Yarrowia lipolytica: one gene and its partner. The protein of the gene in region 2 purifies or fractionates together with the protein of the main gene of each other region. This does not show direct contact. Links are inferred from orthologs where the notes say so. Each region holds a gene or a part of one and is shown on either strand. Other genes may lie near its edges.

Region 1 (3,546 bases), on a different chromosome or scaffold from region 2:
TCTACTCCATGATCTCTAAGAAGCCATTCACAGCTCTGGATAAGCCTGACCCCACTCAGACCGGTATGTCTGTGCTCAGAGACGCTCCTCATGTCGACGCAGACACAACATCGGAGTCGGTGGTGCTCGACAGAAAAGACCCCACCATCATGCCCGAGCTGATGGAAATCCACGACGAGGGCGGACATCTGACTGACGCTTTCCATCTCGACCTCGAAAACGAATTCCACCTTAACGACCACCATATGCATCTCCACCATCGGTCGCACGGTGCGCATCATGATCCGGGTGTTATCCCATGAAGAAAAAATGTATAGTATTCCAGATTCGTGGTGGTCCTAGAGACACTCTTTTAATGCCCTTATTTAAGTAACAAAATAGATTCAGGAGATTCAGGAATGGAAAGATCCATTAAAAGACCTTCAGCATACTCATCAAGGGCTAAGGATTCTCATATTCCTTCGTACATGCCTCTCCTTTTAAATCAATACATTAATAATATAATACAGCTCTAGTTCGAACTATTGTTCATGACTCATGGGTTCTAGGACGCCCATTGAGAGCTCATAGAGTTGGTGGAGCACTCATAGAAAGCACACATGGCCTCATAAGAAATGCAGTATCGGACGGCTCTCACTTGTTCTCCCGCTTAATAGCAGGACCTCCCATACCCTCTTCATAATCCTGTAGAGCCTGCTCCCACTCTTCGTCCGCAGTCAAAGGTCTAGTGGCCTCTTCTGCCTCCTTGAGCTTCTCTTCGTGCTCCTTTCGCGCTTCCTCATCGTATTCGTCCTTGTAATCGATCCACCGTTCCTGGATATCAGAAACTCCACCCACATATCCTCCCTGTCGAGTTGCTTCCGCCCAGAACGAGTCTCCGCCGACCTCGGTACTTCCAAACAAGTAGCCTGTCGCCTTATCTATAGTTGTGAGCAGCTGGATCATGCTCTTTTTGTCCTCCACCGCCAGCACCTCGTAGGCTACCAGACCGAAGTCTTCAACTACCTCTGCAATAGCCTCCGTCAGCTTGGCATACTTGGTCATTCCTGCCTCCTTTTCCAGCAGAGGGAACAAGTGGTGCAAATCCTGCACTTCTGTGTAATAGTCGAGGTTGAAGTCGAGCGTTCCATAGCGGTGGATCAAGTCGATCTTGCTCAGCACGTTCACCTGGGGCAGATCGAGCTGAAGCATAGATCGCAGAGTGAGCAACAAGACTGACACGTAAAGAGATGGTTTGGTGATGTAATGCGAATCGACGAGGTTGACCACGCAGAGACGCGCCTTCTCCTGCTTTTCCAGCCGCTTGAATATCCTCTGCAGCGCGCCATGATGTGTAAACAGCTCCACCTGGCCGGGACAGTCGAACAGCAGGTACTCATTGTCTCCCAGCTCCTTGATCTTGTTAACAAACCCGTCCACATCCGTCTCCACCTCCTCCAAAGCATACATGATGCCTCCATTGGGTCCCAGGTTCTGTTCCGTCATGACATCCTCCAGCTGCACAAAGTCTCGAATGTCCAAAGCGCACGGATACTGGACATGGTCGTTGGCAGGATCCATATTGATCACTGAGACTTTGCGACCAATGGCATTGAGAAACTGGTACATTCCATAGGCGTAGGTCGATTTTCCCGACCCTGGCGGTCCGATAATCAGCTGTCCGAACATGTTGTGTGTGGTGTTGGTTAGTTTGACAAATAATTCTGGCAGTAAGTTTCATGCAGGTTGCGGTAAGGCGGCGTGCAGTGGAGAGTAGTTATCGAAAGGTGGCGAAGGGAAAATGAGGTTGGAAAGACAAGACAGAGGAGACATCGACAAGGTGATTATTTTGAACTTATTTCTGGTCAAATCCGATATCGGGAAGCGTACTTTGAAGACTATCTTATCAGCCCACAGATGGAGGTATGAGAACACTCTGCGTACAGTCCCAACGCAGTATTTTACAGAGCTAGTTTTTGCTACTTTAGTGCATACTGTACATACTGTACTGGTGGTAATTAGAGAAGACAAATGAGCTGTTAGGGACATCGATATTTTGTTCATATGGAGAGTGTTTTTGTCCATATTGTGGGTAAATCAACTCCCCCATAAGTTCTCTTTCGATTAATATAACTTTTACATTGACCGCTACTTTACAAGTTCCCATCACTGTTCACTACCCTCATGGTGGCGTTAGTTGAGTTTACTTGACTTGTTTTTAATATACTTGGCTTATACTTGACATCACCTTTCATTCAGAGCTTAGTAATTATGACCCATCACGACACATCCATCGCAACAGACGACCTGGGCCACTAAATCACACACTCTCCACTCATTTGACACCTCTTATTTTCCCCTCTTTCGCTCCTTTATCCTATCTCAACTACCACCATCCAGGTGGCAACTAACTCTATCTGGTGCGTGCATCACCACTCTCTATTATCACCACATCACATCAACCTCATCACATCCCATCTCTCAACACAGAAATGACGACAGTAGAACCCGCGCAGAACGGATCGGCACCAGCAGTCCCCACGACTCTGGTGTCGTCATTGCCCTACGAGCAAGTGACGGTCGCCCCCCTGGTGCTGCTTTCGGTAGTGGACCATTACAACCGAATCGCCATGAACACAAAAAAGCGGGTGGTCGGCGTGCTTCTGGGCGACAACACCGGCAACACGATCCGAGTCACCAACTCGTACGCCATTCCCTTTGAGGAAGACGACAAGCAGCCCGACGTGTGGTTTCTGGACCACAACTTTGTGGAGAACATGGGCGACATGTTCAAGAAGATCAACGCCAAGGAAAAGCTCATTGGATGGTACCACTCGGGTCCCAATCTGCGAGCCTCCGATCTCCAGATCAACGAGCTCTTCAAGCGATACACCCCCAACCCCCTGCTACTGATTGTCGACATCCAGCCTCAGGAAGTGGGTGTCCCCACCGATGCCTACTTTGCCATTGAGGACATTAAGGACGACGGCAGCGCCACCGACAGAACGTTTGTGCACGTGCCGTCGTCCATTGAGGCCGAGGAGGCCGAGGAGATTGGTGTGGAGCATCTGCTGCGAGATGTGCGAGACGCCGCGGCCGGCAACCTGTCTGTGCGAATCACCAACCAGCTTATGTCCCTGCAATCGCTCCACAAACGGCTTCACGAGATTGCAAACTACCTGCAAAAGGTGGTCGAGGGCCAGTTGCCTCTGAACCATGTGATTCTTGGTAAGCTGCAGGATGTGTTCAACCTGCTGCCCAACGTTTCTGTTTCGTCTTCTGACGACTCTCTCACCGACGCTGCTAAGACCACTGACGAGCGGGCCAAGGCCTTTGCTGTCAAGTCCAACGACGAGCTCATGATTGTCTACCTCTCCACTCTGGTCCGAGCCATCATTGCCTTCCACAACCTGATCGAGAACAAGATCGAGAACAAGGAGAACCTCAAGGAGGAGGAGGATAAGGAGGAGACCAAGGAGGGAGACAAGGACAAGAAGAAGGAGTGATGCATTTGCCATGAGGGGAGGAGGGAGGATTGTTATAATAGCCTCGAGTAGGTGGGCTCTC
Region 2 (4,459 bases):
CGAAAGCAGCTGCCCCAGGGGTCCCCCGAGCTCAAGCACGGTTTCTCTCGAGAATGGAACCTAGGAACCGGCCACGGATCTACTGTGCTTGAGGTCGTCAAGGCCTTTTCCAACGCCGTGGGTAAGGACCTACCCTACGAAATCACCGGTCGACGAGACGGAGACGTTCTGGATCTCACCGCGAAACCCGGCCGAGCAAACTCCGAGCTCAACTGGAAGGCAGAGAAGACTCTCGACGAAAGCTGCTCCGATCTGTGGAGATGGACCAGCGAGAACCCCTATGGTTACAAAAAGGACCGTCATGACAAGTAAGCTGCATTGCTAAAAACAGTTTTTTTCGAAAAAAAAAAAAAAAAAAAAAAAAAAAGTAACACAGCCAATGGTTATAGATTGTAGTTGGTTGTGCAGTTTAGTAATAATGTATTATGATTTTTAAATTGAGTAGTATATACAAGTGATATTTACTGTAGATAATATTGATGATGACCTATAAATGAATTCCTATCTATAACTAACTATTCCACTATCCCACTCCACTCTAACTAGCCTGTCGAGTATCACTTCCGCCCTGTTTCCACAGCCAGAGAGCTTCGGTAGCGTATGCTGCAACGTTCATCTGCTTGGCATGGGTGGCCTCGGTGATTGATTCGATGACTCGTCCCTGGTCAATGAGACCTCTAAGACCCATGCCAATGGTCTTTCCATACTCCTTCTCCATGACAGTAGGGTTTCCAAGACGGTACAGAATTCGTCCGAGGGTTCTGATGGCAATACATCGCTGCCCCGACACCGAACTTCGCGCAAGTTGAGCTAGCTCGGGAATGGTATATCCAGCCATCTCTGGGTTCTCGCCATGGTGATGCAGACCAAGGTTCATTGGGATGTTTCGAGAGGTCTTGGGGGTGATGATGTTACCTTTGAAGTCGAATCTAATCTCAGATGGGAGCATAGTTTTAGGCAGTGGAGCATCTGAAGTGTCCTGAATGATCTTGGCAGTCATTTCTCCATCGGGTCCTCGCTCCTCAACCACTCTGTGTCTGGCATCGGTCATCCATGCCATCTTGGACGGTTCTTTGGGCAGATCAGGAAAGTACTTCTCATGTAGTTTCTCCATAAAGTCTTCGTCGTCGATGGACATGGGATCTTCATCGTCAGCAGCGAATGTGGGAGGCTTTGGAAAATGCACTGCCTGAACGCCAGACTTCTGAGACTCTGCCTTGTCTTTACCCTTTTCATCTCCATCCTCCTTTGCCTCAAACTTGACCTTCTTTGGTGTGGCAGAGCTATCAAAATCCATCTCCGATGCAGTCGCTGTCTTGGTCTCCTTCTTGGGTGTTCCTGGGGTAGTGGCAGGTTTGTCATCATCATCTTCATCCTCAACATCGTACTTGGACTCCATATCGCTAGGTTTGACCTCTCTAGCTCCCAATGACGATTTTAGGTCATCTCCTAGAGAGCGTTCAGCCTCCTTTGTCTCTTTAGTCTGCTCAAGTTCTGCCTTAACATCATCCCTAACTTCCGTAATTGTCGGCTCTTCCCTCGCGTGTTCACTCTGTGGCTCTTCTTTGACAGGCTTCGACTTATTGAAAACCTCCTCCGGCTCCTCCACGGTCGGCTCCTGTTGAGGAGGTTCCATATCGTCTTCCTTGATCTTGGCCCGTCTCATGAGTGCCATGAGCACGTTCTCATCCATGCTTTCCATGATCTCTTGTCTCTGGGCCTCAATTTCCTCAGGACTCATCTTGGCAAGCTTTGACAAGTTCTCCAGATGAATCTCCTCGGCTTCAGTCAGCTTCTGATCCGACGGATAGTCGTTCTGGAAACGTCCAGCTACCGTAGGCTTTGCAGGCGGTGCCTGGTTGTTGACGGGAGCAGGAGCAGGAGCAGGAGCAGGAGCAGGAGCAGGCTTGGGCTTTCGCTTCCACTCTCGCTTGAAGGCGCTGGGAGCCTTTGGGGGCATGGGCGGTAGGGGAGCCGGTGTGTCTTCAATGTCTCGCTCGATGATATCTCCAACGTCCATTGTGTGTTTGTATGTCTGTGGTTCTTGTTGTACGAGTAGCAAATAATTTTGGCGATATGCATGCCTTGGTATCGAACCTTGATCAACAGATGGTTTGGGTGTGCGGCCCTTGTCCTCCCATCTCCCAAACAGAAATTGGTGGCGTCTGGGATAACAACAGTCCATAGCTCGTTGATTGAGAGAAAGAATCACCGGATCTGACTCGATGATGGAGACGTTAGAACCAGAAACTTGATATGGTATGATACTACAGTAACAGAGCAGAAAATATTGTGCTCCACAATCCTTTTATCGCACCTCGCGGGTGGGCGGAACCCTTCTCATCATCGTACACTTCATTTATTATCCATCACAGGTTAATTTCGTGTTGACGTGATAACACATACTAGAGACGAAGACCAGTTAGATCTCTCGCCACTTAAGCCTCACCCATGACACTCATTACCACTACCGAGCCCAAACCGACCTTCATTCCCAAATCCACCACCTGACCACATCTATCATACCGCGTATATGTACAGCAACATTAAAGAGGTGAAGGAGTAGACACAAGAGAGCTCGCGTACATGTACTCTGCCTCTCAGTAACGCGACACGAGCAATTTTCGAGCAGCCATATTAATCTCCACCCCACGCAATCTGTAACGATACAAAATCATCATTCGGACTCGCCGACCCACCCACACAAACTGCCCTGTTCCCCCACGTTTTGCACTCCTCCGTTGTCGGTAAACTGTGCGTCCCTGACGCATCGCAAAAGTTTTGGATCTCTGGACAACCGCAAGCACGACCAGTACCTGATATCGCTCAGCAGATAGAAGCCCGTTCCTCACGTCCCGCGACACTGGAGAGTGTTTCTAGGCCTCATGCAGAAAATCGAGCCCGGCGACGTTCCGGGATTTCTGCCCGAGGTTCCGGAATTCACCGAACCGCACGAAAACAATAACGAAGCATGGAAACCAAGCTCGGCCCGGATTATTGGAGCTACGACGGCCGGTACTCGGGCGCTCGCATCCCAGCTCTTCACATTTTACATCCGTGTGCCTGTCAAGCTCTTTCGACCTACCAGAGTCGACTACTTAGCGCTTCCACGGGCGCTGTCTCCAAACAGCGACAAACCTTGGAGCTTCAAAACACACAGCAGTCCGGCTCTGATTGCCAACGCAGTCAAACAGCATGGCTGGGGTTTTATTCCAAATCAATTGCTGCCCCCCTTATTGGCGAACTCGGCCGTAGGACTGGTATTGTACTCCACATATCTGGGATGTCTACCATTATTCAAATCAGAGAAAGACCGACAAAAGGAGGATGAAGAAGACGAACACCAACGACAACTGCTGCTAAGGAAATCATGGTATGATACCCAGGGAATGGACGGCTCGCATGTGAAATACATCATCGATGAACTCATGCCTCATCGATACACGTTCAAACAGACGTTTTGTGCCGGAGCAGTCGCTGGAGCAGCCCAGGCAGTAGCTGCAGCACCAATCGACGCCATCTACAGGCGTTCTTCGATAGCAGAAGTGCTCAAGACCAAACAGTTGCCCTCTATGTGGTCCTATGGAATGGAGAAGTTGCGCCAAACAGGTGCACCAGGTGTCTTTGCTGGCTTTACGTTGTCAGTTGTCAAAGAGAGTCTGGGTTTTGGGGTCTTTTTTGCCACGTTCGAAATGGTTAAGGGATCGTGGTACAGGTCCTATGCCAAGTGGCTGTATGCTGATCGTCTCAAGGAACATCCTTCAGGCTTTGATGAGAATGGAAAAAGCATCGTCAACAAGGTCCTAGCACCTTTCAGCATCCTTGTAGCTGGAGCAGCAGCCACCATCTCACTGCATGTGGTTCAGTTTCCTCTTCAGAAGCTGCAGGGCATCTACCTGACTCGTCTCGATACTCAAGACCTCATTGACGCAAGAAAACAACTGGAAGCTAACCGATCCAAGGAGCAAAAGACACAGAACAAACTTGGAGAGCGAATAAAACATCAGGCCAGTCCCGCCTCTCCTTTCCAGTCAACATTTCTATGCTACGAGCGTCGGATTCACCACAGAAACCCTCTTATGGTGGAACTGTCTGAAACGCTGGAGGAGACTCTTCCCAGAACGCATTCACTTCTTGTGAAGTTTGGTAAGGGATGGAGTAAGACCGTCAACTTTTCTATTAGATGTTTTACTACTCTTAGATACAGAATCTTCCCGGGTATCCATCTCTACTACCGAGCCTACGTTGAGACTCTGCATACAGCCAATAACATCCGAAAGGGTCTGCGGTTGAGTTGGCCCAGATACCTATACCATGGTTGTGGCTGGACGACCCTCAGTGCGCTTCCGTCTACGTCTATCGGTCTGTTCGTGTTTGAAATCATGAGAATTCGATTTGGCCAGGAAGACGACCCACCTATGAAGGTGTTTGAGGACTAAGCATTTGTATATTGAACCCG

What was found.
Region 1: the proteins of YALI1_E31724g (region 2) and YALI1_D25208g purify together in Saccharomyces cerevisiae (affinity purification with mass spectrometry; 3 studies listed by BioGRID, with this or other methods). This does not show direct contact. The link is inferred for Yarrowia lipolytica from reciprocal best matches to the Saccharomyces cerevisiae genes RBA50 and GPN2.

The regions. Positions count from the first base shown.
Region 1 is NC_090773.1:2,519,112-2,522,657, forward strand, and holds YALI1_D25208g (uncharacterized protein), read right to left. Parts: upstream 1,669-3,546; coding exon 634-1,668; downstream 1-633. Other genes in the region: YALI1_D25178g (uncharacterized protein), read left to right, coding at 1-302; YALI1_D25216g (uncharacterized protein), read left to right, coding at 2,472-3,485. UniProt on the Saccharomyces cerevisiae protein: Small GTPase required for proper localization of RNA polymerase II and III (RNAPII and RNAPIII). May act at an RNAP assembly step prior to nuclear import. Required for establishment of sister chromatid cohesion.
Region 2 is NC_090774.1:3,170,160-3,174,618, reverse strand, and holds YALI1_E31724g (uncharacterized protein), read right to left. Parts: upstream 2,186-4,459; coding exon 539-2,185; downstream 1-538. Other genes in the region: YALI1_E31754g (uncharacterized protein), read left to right, coding at 1-312; YALI1_E31717g (uncharacterized protein), read left to right, coding at 2,886-4,439. UniProt on the Saccharomyces cerevisiae protein: Forms an interface between the RNA polymerase II enzyme and chaperone/scaffolding proteins, suggesting that it is required to connect RNA polymerase II to regulators of protein complex formation.